Linked DNA regions of Nothobranchius furzeri. The protein of the gene in region 2 interacts with the protein of the main gene of each other region in a pairwise test. Links are inferred from orthologs where the notes say so. Each region holds a gene or a part of one and is shown on either strand. Other genes may lie near its edges.

Region 1 (3,518 bases), on a different chromosome or scaffold from region 2:
GTTTAGTGTAACTTTTTACAACTAAACCAAATATGTAGAGAGCCTTTCAGGACAGGAATGTGCTCTGTGATAACAGTCCTGGGTGGTCGGCTGTTTTCTGATCTTATTCATTCATCAGATATGTTCATGTAAAGAACAAAGTGGAACTTCCTGTAGGCCAGCTCAGCTCTTTAATGGAGGGATTTTTCAAAAGAAAATGCAGACAATGTCTTGAAATAAGCAGCTGCAGCTTTTCTTAAAACTCAGATTCTCAAACTACATCTTCTCTGCATCCTTCTGCTAGCAAAAGCTTTCCCTTTGGTCTGAGAAAGGATGTGTTCCTAAATCAAAATGCAGCTTTCAGCTTCGCCTGAATTCAGCTCCTAAAAGCTTCAGTCCAGAGAAGATGGGCGTTTCTTTGATCTGAACCAGGATCACAGATGATGATTTCTGATGTAATGAAATCTTGGATCATCTTCTTTTGGACAGATTCATAGAACATCTGTGTTTCTGATATTACATCTTTAGCATCTGTGGTGTCTAATATTGGTTAGGGTTACCCGCAGGTGTTTCTCTGCTCCAGGACACCTGACTGGGGGATGCTGAAGTGGTGGTTGAATCAGGTGTGTTGGAGCAGAGAAACAAATGCAGGATGGTGGCCCGGAGGACCAGGATTAGACTCTGCTGTGGTCTGATGGCTTGAATTGTTCATTTTTTGTATTTTTTTTAGCGAACCAAAGGCTTGTTGTCGTCCTAATGGATTACTGTTTCCTTCCTCTCCCAGATTCTCCACAACTGATCGCCACCTCATCCCTTTCCTTCACAGCCACCATCACTATAAGCCATCATGGAGCTAGACTTTGGACATTTTGATGAACGGGACAAGACATCCCGCACTCCACGGGGAGGACGCATGAATGGACTCCCCAGTCCCACGCACAGTGCCCACTGCAGTTTCTACCGCACACGCACCCTGCAGGCTCTCACCAACGAGAAGAAAGCCAAGAAGGTGCGCTTCTACCGCAACGGAGACCGCTACTTTAAGGGCATTGTGTACGCCGTGGCGAATGACCGGTTCCGCACCTTCGATTCCCTCCTGGCTGACCTCACACGCTCACTCGCCGACCACATCAACCTGCCGCAGGGCGTCCGCTTCATCTTCACCATTGACGGCTCACGCAAGATCTCTACCTTGGATGAGCTGGAGGAAGGTGAGATGATGTTTGTTTTCTGCCTCCACAGTCGTGCCTTCAGGCATTTAACTGTTTGAGGTGGTCCTACGGCCCAACGGACGGTCTGACAGACCATCTGTAGTTCATGTCCTCAGATAAAACTCTAATCATCGTCCTCCAGAGTCCTCTGAACACCGTGGCATCAGGACTTTTACACAGAAATAAAACTTCCATTTTTTAGGTATTTTTGTTTCACCTGAGGATTTATCATCAAAAACAAAAATTTCTTGCATTACTGAAAACATACATTTTTAATCAGCTGTTCATAAAAACTGTAATGATCATTAAAAACTGTATAATGGTCACATCAGAAGGTGTGGCCGTACAATCATTTATTGCAACTGATACAACCCAAACCTGCTTGAACTTTTGCCTAAAGGCATAAAACTCTGTAAAATCACAGCAAAGAGGTAATATTGACCATGAGAACAGACCATTAAAGAGTCACCTTCTAATCAACCTTTTTTTTCCTGATAAACTATATAAATGTGTGTCTAATCGTGCTGCAGACACGTGTGATCAATAGTTTTGCACTTTAGTGCATTTTAATTAAAAATTTAATTTTCTGCCTAAAACTGTCAGTGTTGTGCCGTTAGGTAAAAACTCTGCACTGTATTTGAATTTAAATCTGCCATCGCTATTGGCTAAGAGGTACCGTAGAATGTTAGCTGGTACCATATGATGTCACAATGTCGTGTGTGTGTGTGTGTGTGTGTGGGGGGGGGGGGTCATTTATTCTGCTTCCTCTTGTAGCGTGTAATTAATTGCTCAATCTCCTCTGCAGACTGTAATCCGGTTGTGATCCTTTTGTCTTTGCTGTAATTTCTCCTCATTTGGACTAATTGTTGCTGTCTGGATTCCTTTTGAGAATTTCCTCCTTCCTTCTGTCTCCCTGCTGAATTTATCTCTAAAACAAACCAAAGCAACCTGCAGCAAAGCCGAACAAAGAGATCAAGACCAGCTTTGAGTATTTGACAAGACATAAAATAAATGTTTCAATAGTCGGAGGACTGAAAATCCTTCTTAAAACAGAGTGCATGCTGGGTATTTTTATGCAAATCAAATCCAGCCGATCAATGGAAGCTTTAAACTCCAACCAGACTGAGTTGACATGTGACGACGTGTCTCTGCTGTATTCTAAGGCCAGCGTTTGCTGGAAGGCAGAAAATGTTGAGCTAATTTGCACACCGTGTCCTCGTGGGACATATTTACTCCTGTCAGCTCAAACCCAAATACATACAAGTGTTGCATGTTATGTTCCAGATTTCTCGAGTCTTATGCAGGGCTACTCAACACACACACATGTATGTATATATATATATTACACATAGATGGTGTTGCATTATCAATATTGCAGCACATCAGTAAATGTAACCAGTGAAATGAACCCTTTTTGCCATAAATGGCAGTTTTAATAGCTGAAAGTGAATGTTTCTCAGGTTATTGTGTAGAAATAAACAAAGGTGGGTGTGAGCATAGATGGTCTAGATTATTTCATCTAAAGTGAATAAAGCTGTCGGTCAAAACCTGAAATAAGTCTGGTCAGCTGCTGTTATGACGATTCGGGCGTATTTCTGTCTGGAACAGGAAAATGTCGCCTTCAAAATCAAATGGTCATCAGATATTTTGTTTAATATAAATGTAGTTGTGGACAGATGATGACTTTGCCTGGAGGAAACTCTGCCCTTCCCTGCAGCAGCGTGTCGCACAGCGTTCGTATTTAGAGGAAATGTTGGGATGTGGGCGGCTGGGATCTCTTTTCTAATCAGCTGGAAAAATGTGATGCATTAAATGAGATTTCATCAGGATTTCACATTTATGAGAAAGCACAACATTTAAATATGGCAAGCTGCTGACACGTGAGCCAGCATGGATTTGTTTAGACACGAGCAGGCCTACAAAAATAGGGAATAAGCAAAATAACGAGCGGTATGGAAATAAAAGTGGACAACAGTAAAATAGGTGGTTAGAATCAAGGATGGGTTGCTTTTCATTTATGGTCATTCAACCACAAACGGGCAGGTGTCCTCGAGATGAAAGGAACTCCGAAAACATCCGATGCATTTATTTCAAATTAAACTTGAAGGTTTATTCTGCTAGAATAACCCTTATCCTGATCCTCCTGCTTCTGTTTTAGTTTCAGACAATAAATCAACCAGAATATTATTTGGAGTTTATTTGTGATGATTATTTCTGTGAATTTGGTCAAATTAATGTTTTAATGAAGTTAAAGGAGCTTATCTGGATGAGCACAGATGTAATTTCAGATGTCCTCGATGGTTTCTGGAGGTCTAAATGTTGCCGACT
Region 2 (4,017 bases):
AAAGGTATCATGTTTGATCCCGGCTCTGGACAGAGAATTCTGCTGTTGTGTCCTTGGGCAAGACACTTAGCCCACCTTACCTGCTGGTGGTGGTCGGAGGGACCGGTGGCACCTGTTTTTGGCAGCCTCGCCTCTGTCAGTGCGCCCCAGGGCAGCTGTGGTTACATCGTAACTCATCACCATCAGTGTATGAATGTGTGTGTGAATGGATGAATGATACATTGTAGTGTAAAGCGCTTTGGAGTCCTTACTCTGAGAGGTGCTGTACAAGTGTGGGTCATTTATCATTTAAACTGTAATTCTATCTGTGTGTATTTTACTTTGTGTTTTTATGTGTTTTCATACCATGTCCTGATAATTGTAAAACACATTGAATTGCCTCTGTGTTTGAAATGTGCTCTAAATAAAGCTGCCTTGCCTTTTGCTGGGCAGTGTACTAATCAGCTAGTTGTTATTCTTCTGAGATTCTTATATTTTGTCCTCTTTATCAATTCGATAGGCAACGTTTAATTTTAACTGAAAAAATGGTTTCAAAAACTGTCAGAATTCCTGACAGTCTTCCCGTTCCGCTCTCTCCTTTTCCAGGTGAAGCTGTGACGCAGGGGCTATGGATGGTGATGATATTAGTGTATCACTTGTTTGGGTCTCAACCTCACTCATCTGTTACTGAATAGGTTCAAACATCGATGCTGTTTCTATGGAGCCACTTGACCCAGTAAAACTAACAGTTTTATTATAAAGATAAAGTTTCTTCTAGGACGCTTAAATCGGAATCGTGATCAGTTCGTTTCATCCAACTTTACAAGCCAAAAAATGTTTTTTTTCTTATTCACTTTATTTGTTCAACTGATCATTTTAAATTTGAAGCTATAATCCTGACAGCGACAGACGCTGAGGCGGGATGATGTGTGGAAGAAGAGTGTGGGTGCGCACGGCTCGGGTTTGTTGCGCGGCCACTGGAGCAGCGGTGAAACTGATCCCAGCTGCTACTGTTGGAGGGGGAGGAGGGGTGAGGAAATCTATTCCAGTCCCCTGTGGGTTGGTCACGTGCCCTCGTTTGGTTTGGGGGAACCGCGTCAGGAGGGAGAGGAGGAGGAAGCGCGCAGCTGCGCACAGCTGAGTTGGAAAAGCAACATCCTTCAGAAGCGGGTCCAGAAGATCCACATCAGTTGTTTTGTTGTTGTTTTGGGGCGTTGTCACGCGGTGTCTGCTGATACGCTGACACAACGCGTGTGATCACTGTGGCACTGCCTCGTTGAAACTTCTCTGCTCACGAAAACTACCATCCTGTCAGCGCCTGCCACAAGTCGACCTCCAGAAACACAGAGGGAGAGCTGTCACCGGGGACCGAGGTAGGCTTTCTGTCTCTTCCTATGGGGGCTCGGGGTGTTTGGGCTTGAGAGAACCGGAGCTGGACGGGTAAGCAGTTTGTGTGTGTGTGTGTGTGTGTTTGTGTGTGTGTGTGTGTGTGTGTGTGTGTGTTTGTGTGTGTGTGTGTGTGTGTGTGTGTGTGTGTGTGTGTGTGTGTGTGTGTGTGTGTGTGTGTGTGTGTGTGTGAGTGCACACAACTGATGCAGAAAAACGTCTCAGATTAATCAGCAAATGTACTCAAGCAAATTTCTCATTAGTGGTAAATTTTACATCTAGTAGTAATTATCTCTTTGCGCATGTGTTAGATAGTCTACAGTGATATTAGGATGTATTTAGCAACCTCTATTCATCGTTTTCCCCCAAGTGCCCTGCACTGATCAATAGTGACATTGTGTATTGATTGAGATGACATGACCTGAGCTGAACCCTGCTGTTAGCGCATTGTGGATGATACTTATTGACTTTTACTGTCAAAACTGTCAAATTTATGTTGTATTTTTATGTAAATAACAAAACTATAGATGTTATTGGATGATGAAGTAGTTGATCACTGAAATAGGATTTTTACCTTTTTGTGTTGGCTCCAGTGTTTTAACTGTTGAAGTAATGCTGCTGGTGACAGGAGACAAAAGCTGGTTTGAGTTTGGCCTCCAAAAAGCTGAGTCTAACATTCCCCCCCCCTCATTAATAATGCACCAATTTTAAACAATACAAATGCAGGGAAGCGGGGTCCAATGTCGAGTGTTGCTTCTCTCTATTTCTTATGTTTAGATGATGAATTCTCTATTAAATAAACTTTTCCTAATGTGAAGAGGACACATTCCATATGGGTGGTCAATGTCGATCAGCCATGGAGTAGAGCGTTGTGCTTAATGAACTGGTGTTTCGCCAGCTTCTAAAAAGTCATTTATGGGCCCGATCGTTCTTGCTCTCTTGTTGCTGGATGATCACAGCCTTTAATGAGACAGGTCTTTGTGCATGGGGCTTGACACTCTCTGAGACAAGGCTGCTAGTTGGGTGAATACAGCTGACACCCTCATCCGTCAGGCACCCACAGGGTGCTGCCTACTTTCTCACTCTATCCATTTACTGCCTCTTTCTCTCGTTTTCAGGCTTTCTTTCACTCCTGCGCTCTCCCACTGCACCCTCAGATGATAATTATTAAGACTTTATAATGATGACATGAGCAGTGAGGGTTTTTTCCCTTCTGTGGGGAGGAATGGGTGTTGGTGTCTACACGCTGGGATGATTATAGTTGTGACAGAGGGTTGGAAATCATTGCAGTTGAAGCATTGACTTCCTAGAATAGTTCAGCCAGGTATCTGTTTATCTCTGTGTTTGTTTCTGAAGCTGGAACTCTGTTCTCGGACAAAGCAAAGGAGGATCAGCCTTTTACCAAAGAAACATGTAAATATTAAACAATGTAAGATTTTAAAAAAGTACATGTTTTTATTTGTTTTGATTATTTGAGTTTTTGATTGTTAACTTGAGATGATAACGCTTAAAGAAAGATGCTTTACTACTTATAGGTTATGAATATGTAAAATACACACATAAAATACACACATAAAATACACAACAGCAGTAGCTCATGTGGTGGAGCGGGTTGTCCAGTAATAAGAAGGCTGCAGATTAAATCCCGGCTCTGACCAGAGATTGCTGCTGTTGTGTCCTTGGGCAAGACATTTAACCTGCCTTGCCTGCTGGTGGTGGTCAGAGGGACCGGTGGTGCTTGTGTTTGGCAGCCTCGCCTCCCTCAGTGAGCGCCAGGGTGGCTATGGCTATATTTTAGCTCATCGTCATCAGCGTGTGAATGGGTGAATGACTGATTGTGTTGTGAAGTACCTTGGGGGGTTGTAGAACCCTAAGAAGGTGCTAGGGTCTGTTTCTGAGCTGCAAGGCCTAGCTTGGTCCTTTGCAAGGCCAAGTGTCCACACTAGGGCTGGACAAAAGGATTATTTTTGTAATCAATTAATCTAGCGATACTTTTTTCGATGCTTCTAACTAATCTGTCAACTTAATTAGATTTCAATTCGATTAGATTATCGATTATTTCCCCATTATTTGACTTCTATAGCAATTTGAGTATTACTAATGTATGTATCTCAATGAAATAAACACACATTTCTTCATTTGAACACATTTTATTAAAAAAAATTCTAAAATAAAGTTGTTGTAGTAGTAGATGACGCACCTTATATCTATATGATCAACAATCTGGAGGAGCATGAAGTATAGAAAATAAGTTCAAACAGGATGAGGTATTACACTTTACAATCAAGAGTTCATTGTCATTTTGCTTTAGCAAGAACTTCAACAATGTTGGAATAGTGTCTACGACGGCCGTGACATTATCTTTAACATTTTTACTTTGGCCAATTTGCGCTCTCTCACATTTTCGGCTCTCGGCAACTCTCATAATCAGCATGTGCGCATTCAGAATTATTTTGCCAGCATGAGCCACAAATAAAAACCAACAAAACAGGTAACAGCTGCTGCTATTTGTTACCGCTATAGCAGCTTCAATGAGTTGAGGTTGAATGTTTTTCTCAGTGTGTGTGAGTGAGTGAATGAGACTGTGAGTGCGTGGGTCTGCTCGTGTGTGTGAGTGAGTGCATGTCTACGTGGGGGTGTTTGGATGGTAAA

Evidence for each region. The genes of interacting proteins can lie anywhere in the genome.
Region 1: the proteins of mid2 (region 2) and neuronal migration protein doublecortin interact in binary tests that used the Homo sapiens proteins (3 or more experiments, as listed by UniProt). The two-hybrid records come from large-scale screens. The link is inferred for Nothobranchius furzeri from reciprocal best matches to the Homo sapiens genes MID2 and DCX.

Annotation. Positions count from the first base shown.
Region 1 is NC_091750.1:46,837,303-46,840,820, reverse strand, and holds part of neuronal migration protein doublecortin, read left to right. Parts: intron 1-763; 5' UTR 764-826; coding exon 827-1,190; intron 1,191-3,518. UniProt on the Homo sapiens protein: Microtubule-associated protein required for initial steps of neuronal dispersion and cortex lamination during cerebral cortex development. May act by competing with the putative neuronal protein kinase DCLK1 in binding to a target protein.
Region 2 is NC_091741.1:89,376,262-89,380,278, reverse strand, and holds the start of mid2 (probable E3 ubiquitin-protein ligase MID2), read left to right. Parts: upstream 1-1,215; 5' UTR 1,216-1,352; intron 1,353-4,017. UniProt on the Homo sapiens protein: E3 ubiquitin ligase that plays a role in microtubule stabilization. Mediates the 'Lys-48'-linked polyubiquitination of LRRK2 to drive its localization to microtubules and its proteasomal degradation in neurons.